Macaca fascicularis: one gene and its partner. The protein of the gene in region 2 interacts with the protein of the main gene of each other region in a biochemical or structural test. Links are inferred from orthologs where the notes say so. Each region holds a gene or a part of one and is shown on either strand. Other genes may lie near its edges.

Evidence for each region. The genes of interacting proteins can lie anywhere in the genome.
Region 1: of the proteins of WNK1 (region 2) and KLHL3, one has a biochemical effect on the other in vitro, tested with the Homo sapiens proteins (2 studies listed by BioGRID). The link is inferred for Macaca fascicularis from reciprocal best matches to the Homo sapiens genes WNK1 and KLHL3.

Annotation. Positions count from the first base shown.
Region 1 is NC_088380.1:144,214,923-144,220,275, reverse strand, and holds the start of KLHL3 (kelch-like protein 3), read left to right. Parts: upstream 1-1,911; 5' UTR 1,912-2,357; coding exon 2,358-2,371; intron 2,372-5,353. UniProt on the Homo sapiens protein: Substrate-specific adapter of a BCR (BTB-CUL3-RBX1) E3 ubiquitin ligase complex that acts as a regulator of ion transport in the distal nephron.
Region 2 is NC_088385.1:1,507,450-1,513,118, forward strand, and holds the start of WNK1 (serine/threonine-protein kinase WNK1), read left to right. Parts: upstream 1-2,210; 5' UTR 2,211-3,157; coding exon 3,158-3,916; intron 3,917-5,669. UniProt on the Homo sapiens protein: Serine/threonine-protein kinase component of the WNK1-SPAK/OSR1 kinase cascade, which acts as a key regulator of blood pressure and regulatory volume increase by promoting ion influx.

The DNA of each region.
Region 1 (5,353 bases), on a different chromosome or scaffold from region 2:
GATATTGGCTCTTAATAGTTGTATTTTGAAACTTGAATACCCACAACCCTTACATATTTCCTTTTTGGATCTTTTTTCTTTCTGTCTGGTGTATTAGATGTGGCATTTCCCCACCTTCCTGTAAGGCGAATATGTAAACGTGGGTATGTGCAAAGGAGTCATCTCTTTCTTATGTCCCTTTTATGAATCACCCAGTTGTCTTCCTGGTGGATGTCTGAACTCTGGCATGGATTCCAAGATTCAATTTCCTTATTTGTGATGTTCAGTTTTTTGTGGTCCCTGTGATTGACCTCAAGAGGAAATATCTGGAGCAGGGCCACAAGGCTGATTAGAGGAGGAAGGGACATAGAGGGAACAAGATAGGAGGGGTATTGTTGTGAAAGGAAGAAGTGAAGATACAGCCCTGTGGGGTGTAAATGAAATTATCCAGGCCTCTTCTCACTTGAGAAAGAGTGAGTTTGAGTAATGGCCTCGTCTAAGAGAACACTGAGGTGCCAGGGGAGGTAATCTTTGAGAATAACCCTGTAGCCAGTTTGAGTTCAGGAGGCTATATAAAGTATTAGTTACTTTTACTTTCTGTCACCCCAGTGTTTCTCTCTTCCTTCTGTGGTTTTAGAGCTTTGTAGTAGTGAAGACATTTATCAGGTTAAAATGATAAGAATGATAGATTTACTAAGCGTCTCTTCATACTTTCACCTACATCATGTTATCCTCCTTGAAGCCCCCTACAAAACATTAGAGCCTAGTGTTTCTTCTTAAACAATCATACAGGTTACTCTGAGAAGAAAAACAGACCATTTAAAACATTTTTAGAATCCTGTGATTTTGGAGCTGAAAGGGACTCTAAAGACTGTCTGGTCTTGACCCTATATTGTGAATGAGTAGCTGAGCATGAGGTCCAGAGTGTGGAGAACACTACTCAGGAAAGTCACTCACCCAGTGAGAGCTGGTGCAGATTCGGAAAAGCCCAGGAGTGTCTTGAGGGGTCCCGGAAGAGAGATGCTCATAGCTGATTTTTCTGAGGCATTAGGGTAGCTTCTGCACCACTTTTTGTGGCTAATTGCCCCAGTTACCTCTAAGCCTCTGTGGCTAGGATATACAGACTGGCCTCCTGCCTTCCACAAGATTATGTTTTAGTTTGGGAAAGAAGATTTATAAATAATGAATTAGCTAGGTGTGAGATGACAATACAGGACAGTATAGTTTGTAGCTATTTTGGTGGTGATTGGCTGTCATTGGTGTGATTCGGGAAGTTATGAAGACATGAGATTTTGACTAGCCTCCCAGAAAGACTAAAGGACTGGGATTGGAGAAGCCTTTCCAGGCAGGGAGAGTTAAATTAGTCTAAATAGAAGCTTAGCAGCTGGAGATTACAGGATGTGAAAGATCTTTGGCTGGATATGGGGGTTCAGTGGGAGACTTACTAGTTGGAGCCACAGCTTAAGTTAAATTCCAATATGACAGATTTTAGGAAGATATTTTAGGATTGTGCTAAGATATTTTAGTATTCATTGTGATAGCTTTACTGCAGTAGTCTTTGGCCTCTTGGAGTAAAATAGAGTTTGTTTCCGTTTCACCTATTTGTACTACCTCTCTTTTTCGACTAATTTTCCAATTTCTCTCTGTATTCTTTTAATTTCTCTCTGTGTTCTTCTCACTTCTGTCAGGTGCTTTTTCCTTAACTTCTCCCCATCTATCAGACACTCAGAGCTACTATAGAATTTGGGAGGAGGATTTGGAACATAAACTGTGACCTACAAGTGAATTTCCCCAGGTGGATGATAAACTCCACTGCAGGCCACAGAGGGGCCTCCTCATTCCAGCAATCTGGCCAGGCTGACAGACTCATAGCCTATGGGGGCAGGGGAGGGTGTAGGGGCCAGTATTTCTCCGGCTAGTGACGAACTGCCTGATTCTTTGCAGCCTAGACAGAGGAGGCAGGAGCCCCAGGGGCGGGCTAATCGCCTGGGCTGGGGATGCCTGGGCAGATGCAGAGGCAGCTGGAAAGGTGGCAGTGCACCTGGGTCGCTGGAGCTGCTGCCGTTCCTAGGAGACCAAGGAGCAGCAAGCCTGCGGGGGAGGGGGAGCAAGTGGGTTGCTGCTTTTAGCAGCTGAAAGGGCTGCAGGGAGCTCTGGGTAAGACATTTTCTGCTGCTGCTGCTTTTGCGGTAGAAGCTGCTGCGAGTAAGTCAGAGGAAGGAGGATTGAGAAGGGAGGAGGCTTCACTTGCAGCCATGCTGAATCACTGTTGCTGATCAGATCTCCCACTGGTCTGCTGGGAGAATCAAGAACAGAACTAGGATCCCCGGGTGCATGCACACAGTTCAGCGGCTACCATCCTGACTGGGCCTCACACAATGGAGGGTGAAAGGTATGTATGTATAAGTATGTGCTGTGTTGTGTGTGTATATAAGTAAATGTGTGCTTGCGGTACAGCCACCAGCTTTTGTGTTTGCATTGGCTAGGCAGGGTTGGAAAACCTGGCCACTGATGGATCTCAAAGGGCGGCAGAGCAAGAGCAGAAAAGCCGCTTTCCAAACCACCCATTCCAGGGCTTGAATCTCCAGAGATCTGGCTTCCGCAAAGGCAGGTCTGGGTTTGCTAGGCAGCGGAGCACCCTGAAAGAAGGGACTTCCTGGCTGGTGTTCGGGAATAGTTTCAGCACAGGCTGAATTAGATTGCCTTTCTCAGGCTGTTTCAAGGAGGCGTTTCCCTTTCCTGGCTACTTTCCCGGGGTGTTTTTTCTTTGGTGGGGGGTTTTTGATGTCATAGTGGGGCTGGCCTGACATAGTGTACTTGCATTTTCACGCAGGAGTGCTCGAATCTTCAGCAGGCATGCCATGCTGATGGCTGTGTGTGTGTGTGCGCGCAGGCACGCCGTGTATGCCTGTATACACACACATTCAGGGATGAAGGAGAGAAATCCAGTCAGATGACACTTGCTCTGAACTGAGTTTCATATTTGTATTGAAAAGTTTATGAGTTATACTGGAAGGTCTGTGCTTCCTCCATCAGGGATTTCTTTTGAAATACGAACCAGCAGAAAAGATTTCAAGTACTTTTGTTGAGCTGGATCTAACTAGCGAGGCAGTTAGATCCTGGCAGGCACACCCATCTAAATTTTTAAATTGTTATCTGAAGATCTGAATCTTTCATTGTGAAAGTACTCAGTGCAGTGCAGAGGTGACATTCCTCTGTCTATGAAGTAAAATATCTCTTGAGTGCCAACCTCTTCATTCTTTGGTCTGCAGTTGGTAGAGTACAGGGCTTGCCATTTTATCCGAGGAGAGAGCACTGCAGGGAGGGGTCCGGCCATGGCAGTGCACCACTGAGGGGAAGGCTGCTGCTCCAGGTTGCCAGTTTGATGCAGACAGTAACTATCTGGTTAACAATAATAGGCTCAACTAAGTCAACACTAGAGAATCTCTCAGTGAATACTTTCCTTTTCATGAGTTGTTGTGACTTCTGCGTCTCACGGGGCTCAGTGATGCCATTGAACATCTCTAGACCCTATTAGAACTGGCATGATGGTTGAGTGTCATCTCATTCTTTTGTCCGTAGAGGCCCTGGGAATTGTGTTCTTGATGACTCCCACAGGAAGAGCCTGGGACTGACTGTGCTGCTGGTGCATCGTCTTTCTGGGTGCTCTTTGTAACAGGAGTTTAGTGTTGAACTGCATGTGGCCTGCTGGGCAGCAGAACATGTGAAGGCTTGTTTCCTAGGTGTGGGGCAGAGGTGAGCAGTGTCTTTGGTCCCCCAAACAGTGTTCCATTGATCTGGTAGGTGGCAGAGAATGGGGCTGATGTGATGAAGGTTTAGAGATTCTGGGCCATGCCTATTTGCTTGATCTGTGGTGTAACTGGGGTTGAGAGATCAGTGTGAGACTACTAGCAGCGGATCAAATGGTTTGGGGCACTGTGTTCCCAGTTCTGTGTTCAGAAATGTAATGAGTCCCTGCCCCTGTCCTGGGGCCTCTCAGCTGGGATGGCTGATGTCTATGGCTTTAGAACACCAGGTTGCACATGTTCTTGTACTTTTCCTCTGCTGAAGGCAGATGGTAGACAAGAAATCCAAACCGAGCAGCTTCCAATGTTCACCAGGTCACCCAGGTCATACCTTTTGTTCCTGCCTCAAGCCCAGCTTACCATGCCAGGCATTCAAGTCTTCTGAACTCCAACTCCTGTTCCCATTCCCACTGCTCACTCATAAACCTACTAACAATTCTATTGATCTCTTTCATGATCACCCATCCTATACATTACTTCATCTAGCCTCATATCCTTAGCTCCCAGAGTTTCTTTTGCTGGATGTCTTTCCCTTCTAATTTTGCAAAAGTTATCTATCAAGGTTATTCTAAAATTCTACTTTATCTTGGAAACTCAGCTTTTCTAGTCCTGGCTGATGTTCTTCTGAATTCTAATCCCTCTAGTTTGCATCTCATAGTTGGACACTGAATAATAGGCCCATCAGATCTTTTAGTGCTTTTATTTCATATATCTTAGCAGTCCCCAAACTTGGAGACAGGTCCTCAAGGGCAAGGCTAGTACCTTGTACTTCTAAATACGCCCATTGACTACTGTGTGGGTACACAAATAGCAGGTGCTGAATAGTTATTAGCTGATTAACTAATAACCTTTGTGTGAGGCTCTGATAACTAAAAAGAAAGTTGGTGAGAGAAGAGACTGAAGCCTTTGGCCAATAGGTTCATCTTTGGATATCAGCCTTATTATCTTAGCACGGGTAACTGACTCCATGGAATGCTTTGAGGTAGGGGGGCGAACAGAGGGAAGTAGCCTTGTTTTGCAAGTTCCCTGGGAAATTGAGGTCCGGAGAAGCTGAGTGACTTGCCTAGGATCACATGTCCAACCTCCAGAGACTGGAGGGATCCTGAATCTGGTGCTTGTTCCACACTTAACCTGCTGAATCTTAATTGGGGCTGTTTTTAAGCATTACAAAATTTCAACCAAGAGATTGCTAATGAACAATTTTTTTTCTTTGCCACGAGGGTATGAAAATACTTTGTACCTTGAAAGGCTATTAATTAAAAGCATGGGCTTTGGAGTAACTTAGACCTAGTGGTGAATCTACTTTACAGTGTGACCTTGAGTGTGTCACACTCTTTTCAGAACTAATTTTTCTCTTTTGTGTAAAGGAAATAATAACAGTACTTATACTTCATAGAGCTGTTGTGAAGATTAAATGATACAATATGTGTAAGGTACCTAGTAAAGTTTTTTAGGCACTGAGTGAGTACTCAGGAGATGGTAGTTGCTATTATCATTGGTATCCACCTATTGCTATGTTGTAGCCTATACCTCGCTGCTGGGTTACTAACCAAGGCATATTTTAGGAC
Region 2 (5,669 bases):
AATCTAATCATTGTACGTAACAAGATTATATTCAACTTAAAATTGTATCTGTTTTCATTGTAAAGCTAACATTACACAAGTGGGAAAAGCTGTCTCCTAGGCAAGTGTGGTTTTAAGTCAACAATTAATTAAATTACTTACAATGAATTTAGTTGTTCCTGGTTGAAAAGACATGTTGATAGGGCATGGTGATTATCAAGGGACTTGTGTCCAATGCAGTGTGGCCAAAGTTTCAGGGCTCAGTAAACAGGAACAGGCAATAATAAAATCCTTTAATAACCACTCACACAAAAATATCCTAATTTTTTTATGGTGCCAAAAGGGAACATTGTGATTTACTGATCTTCTTTTAACTTGCCAATTTGTAATTAGCTGCCTTATGTTTAAAATCAGACTATTTTTCCTCCTGAAGCAACAATTGGGCAAGTTTTATTTGACTCAAGAAGTATAATAAAAATGTATTTTACGGCCATTTCTTCCCTTGCTTACAGTAGGTTTACGGTTAGAAATACACTCTTAATTCCATTTACCATAATGAGATTATTTACCATTACCAGCAGCAAACGAATGAAAGATACATTTTCTAGAGCAATGGAACACTAATATTTTAGTACTCTAGTTGTCCCTACTGAATTGGCATTTTAAAATGTTCACAACCTGTCAGCTTCATGAAACCTCACAATCATTGGCTTCAAACATTGTTGTAAACTCGAAAGGGTAGCTTGTGATAAACAACAACAAAAAGAGAAAGAAAACAGCATTAACCATTTTACGGATCAGATGAATTAACATGAACTGCACGGCAAGAATTCTGCAGGTGGAGCTCATCCGAGAACTGTGCTAAGGAACCTCCTGCCGAGTTCCTCGCTGGCTGCTCGCTCGCAGCGTGGTCCTCGGCCCGGGACGCGCGCTTCCGAGCTGGTTCCGCAGCGGGCGCCCAAGAGAGGCGGCCGCGCCCGGACGCTCTGATGCGGTTGCGTACGTTTTCCGCGCTTCCCGCTCTCCACCGGTTGGACCGAGGCTTTTAAACTGCCATCTGCTCCCGAGTCCGGCCTCCTACTCCGTCTGGTGCCCCCTGGTGCTCGTCCCCTCCGCATCTTGAGGAGCTGCGAGGAGCACAGGGGTCCAGGGAGACAAGGATGCTTTCAAGAAAAACATGCCATGGCGCCGAGCCGCAGGGATCCACGTTTCCCGGGCCCAGGGCCCTGGTAGACGTTGCATGTGGACACTGAGGAGCTCTGGAGAAAGAGGGGGTGTTGTTTCACGGAGCCACCCAGCAGAAGAAAGGTGGAAAATAAGTTTCAACCAACTACAAAGGCAGAAGTCAGCCCAGCCCCCCCAAGTGTGGCCAAAGACCCATAGATCCGTAGACCTTATCTTTTCTTGAATCCACCGCTCCCCCAACCCCGCTTTTATTATCTTTCAGGCAAAGCCAAGAGGGAGTTCACTAGGATCCCCCATTTCAGTCAGGCAGCCCTTTTTTGAGAGCCGGAATATCCGTGTCGGGCGGGAGCTGAGAATGTGGCCTTAATTGTTGAGGGGAGGAGGATGGAAGATAATCCTGTCTCCTCCTCCAATCCATTTAATCAATATTAATTTCATGCACCATCTTCACAAAGTTTCTTTTCCCCTCCTCCGACTCAGAACTCAGGCTCCGGTTATCCGGCTTTACCCTTCCCCTCCACCCCCACAGCCCTGCAGTCACTCAACACTACTGCGGCTCTCTCCATTAAAGATGAACAACAGATCATTTTTCATTGCATGGCAACCCTAAGAGCTCTCTCGCTTAGCAGAGCATGATGGGAGTCTTTCCATCTCCCCCCCACCTTCCTCTTTTTTTTTTTTCCCTTCCTTCCCTTCTTCCACAATTAATCCCTAAATAATGATTTTCCTAAGCTCGCGCGGACTTCAGGATGGGGTTGAGCGACCCGCGATGACGCTCCCATCAGCCTTTCAGAAGGGACGGTTTCTAAAGAAAACTACAACTCCCACGAGGCATCAGGCTACAGCAACCGCGAGGCATCACGGAAGTCGTAGGCACTTTTCTCCTAGGTCCCGTTCATCTCCTCCAACCCGTAAACTATAAGTCCCAAGGTGCCTCGGGGCTGGCACGCCTGCGCAAAACCCCGGAGCGAGGTGGGGGGTGGGGCTGCCCCGGGCGGCGGGGGGCGGGATCCGAGCGGGCTGTGTGGAGGCTTCAGACTCCCGGCGCCATTTAGCGCAGAGAGTTTCCCGGGCGGACGCGGCTCCTCTCTCGGCCCCTCCGCACCCCCGTCTTCGGTGACAGAAGGCGCCTGGTGGGGGTGACTGCTCTTTTCTCTCCCTGTTCCCCCTCACCCAGTCCTCTAGGTCTCCTCTCCTCTTGCCTCAGAGAAGCAGCGGAGCTCGGGCCCCGCGGTGAGCGGCCCTCCCCTCCCCGCCGTTCCCTCCGCCGTCAGCCCCCGGCACCGGCCCGGGAGGAGGCGGGTTCGCCAGGCCCGGGGCGGGCGGGGAGGCCTCGGGGAAGGGGGGGCCCGCTCCTCAGGCGCCGAGGCTCCGAGGCTCCGGCCCTTCGCCCCGGGGCGATGGGCGACCAGTGAGGCCGGTCCCCATCGCGGGGGGCGCGTGTGGGAGGCGGCGGCCGCCGAGTGACCGGAGCCGGGCCGCGGCCTTCCTCGCTCGCCTCGGCCCCTCCCACTCCCTGCCCCGGGGCTGCCACCGCCCGGGCGTCGGAGCTGGTCCCGTGCTCGCGGCGCCGCCGCCCTCTGGGCCTAGCCCGCCCGGCTCGGCGAGCGGGGCAGTGGGAGCCGCGTCCGCCGCATCCGCCTCGACTCGGTGCCGGCCCCGGGCCCTCCCCTCATGACTGCGGCGCCTCCGCTGCCGCCGCCCGCCCGGCCGCCGCTCGCCGCAGGATGGATGCGGACCGTGCGGCGCTAACCCCCGCGGCTCCGCTCCCGACTCGCCCGCCTTCGAGCCCTCCTCGCGAGCCGCAGCAGTCTCGGTGCCAGCGGCCCGCCTCGCCCTCGCTGCGGCTGGTCAGTGCTGAGTGAGGCGTCTCCGGGTCGGCGCGAACCCGCCCGGCCGCGGTGCCCTGCAGACCTCCGCGCGGGCGGCTCGGCCCTCACGCCCTTTCCATCCGCGACTCCGAGCCCGCTCGCCTCTCGCCAGCGAACCGACCATGTCTGGCGGCGCCGCGGAGAAGCAGAGCAGCACTCCCGGCTCCCTGTTCCTCTCGCCGCCGGCTCCTGCCCCCAAGAATGGCTCCAGCTCCGATTCCTCCGTGGGGGAGAAACTGGGGGCCGCGGCCGCCGACGCCGGGACCGGCAGGACTGAGGAGTACCGGCGCCGCCGCCACACGATGGACAAGGACAGCCGCGGGGCGGCCGCGACCACCACCACCACCGAGCACCGCTTCTTCCGCCGGAGTGTCATCTGCGACTCCAATGCCACTGCGTTGGAGCTCCCCGGCCTCCCTCTTGCCCTCCCCCAGCCCGGCATCCCCGCGGTTGTCCCGCAGAGTGCCCCACCGGAGCCCCACCGGGAAGAGACCGTGGCCGCCACCGCCGCTTCTCAGGTAGCCCAGCAGCCTCCAGCCGCTGCCGCCCCTGGGGAACAGGCCGTCGCGGGCCCTGCCCCCTCGACTGTCCCCAGCAGTACCAGCAAAGACCGCCCAGTGTCCCAGCCTAGCCTTGTGGGGAGCAAAGAGGAGCCGCCGCCAGCGAGAAGTGGCAGCGGCGGCGGCAGCGCCAAGGAGCCGCAGGAGGAACGGAGCCAGCAGCAGGATGATATCGAAGAGCTGGAGACCAAGGCCGTGGGAATGTCTAACGATGGCCGCTTTCTCAAGTTTGACATCGAAATCGGCAGAGGCTCCTTTAAGACGGTCTACAAAGGTCTGGACACTGAAACCACTGTGGAAGTCGCCTGGTGTGAACTGCAGGTAAAGCCCCACCTACTTCTTTATTTGAAGGTCCTCTGGATCCCAAATTTGGCTTGGCGAAGCCAGTTGATGGAGTTCACCCTTCACTTGGCATTCTCTAACTGTTGGACTCCGAGTGGGAGGGGGAGGTCAACTTTTGAAAGGGGTTGAAATTAGGAGAATGTGGAGCATGTGCCTCGGTGTTGGGATAGGATAAGAATTACTGGTAGCCAGAGGGATTTGCTACCGGGCAGGGGTGGTGAAGGTCATCTTAGTATAAACGAATTGTCTCCTGGTTTAGTGTCTGGCAAGGAACTTGGAATGAGGGGGGAAGTTGAAAGTACAGATGCTTCTTCCTCTGTGCGTTTCAGTCTCATCAGAGGCTCTGCAGTGATGAGCTGCCTCTGGGCGTAGAAGCGTGTTTCCATTCCTGAGATCAGGCTGTTCTTTTTAAATGAGAACGACCTTGTACTTTTGGATATATCTTACTTGATGGTTGCACAGGCATTTAGTATAAAATAAGTATTAAAAAAAGACTCTTCTCTGCCCCTTTTGGATGAATGCCTTGGCCGTAGTGACGTGCAAATAAATGTTTGATGTTGTTCTACCTAATGATGCTTAAGCCTTACAGTAGCAGCATTGCTCTGACATTGTTCGTTAAACTAACGTCTTTCAGCCCATTCACTATACAGCGAATAGTACAGGAGCCCATGCAAAATTGTGTAAGTGCTTTGAGAGTTGTAATGTCATCATCATTATTTTAATCTTATAAAATATTTTTAAGCTAAACTTTCCCAAGAGTCCAAAGGAGTCGCAATACTTCCTTTTTTAACCTCTAGTGGTGTAAATAATGGTGTGTCATTCTGGTTGACTAGTACATTCTAGGTTTAAACAGCTGAGTTTGCGCTACTTGTTGCTTGACTAACTGAAGCAGCTTGCTTGAATGTTGCCCTGACTGGGCATAGGTGAACATAGGTTATTAGTAGGAGCAGGGTTATACTGAAGGAAAAAAGTCAGCCACATTATGCATACATAAAAAAATGTCATTAGACCAGCCTGATACAGGATATGAAAATAACTGAATGATCTTGGAACTTGTTTTATCCATGAACTAATATGTTAACATGTAACCCTTTGAATGTCAGGTTCCAAATAATTAAGGCCATATCAAATGTGAAATTAACACAGCATGTGGAAGTAAACTTAAAAACTAAGAAGTTCTTTACAAACATAATCATTTCTTAACTTTTACAGTTAATGATGTAGAACTTCTAAGGTAGTGTGAAATTAAAAGTACTCATTAATTTTATAGTATTTTAGAATTGGAAAGGTGACAGATCTTAAAAAAAAAAACAACAACGAAAACTATTCCTTTTCGTCAGTCATACTCAAAAAACTTAGTCTGGGCCAGGCGCGGTGGCTCACGCCTGTAATTCCAGCACTTTGGGAAGCCAAGGCGGGTGGATCACGAGGTCAGGAGTTTGAGACCAGCCTGACCAACATAGCGAAACCCCGACTGTACTAAAAATACAAAAATTAGCCGGGTATGGTGGCACGCGCCTGTAATCCCAATACTTGGGAGGCTGAGGCAGGATAATAGCTTGAACCCGAGAGGCGGAGGTTGCAGTGAGTGGAGATCACACCATTGCACTGCAGCATGGTGACAGAGCGAGATTCTGTCTCAAAAACAAAAACAACTTATGTCTGATTCCTTTTGGTTTACAGGCAGAAATTTACAGAATTTACATTTCTTTCTTGTACTTTCGACGCCTAT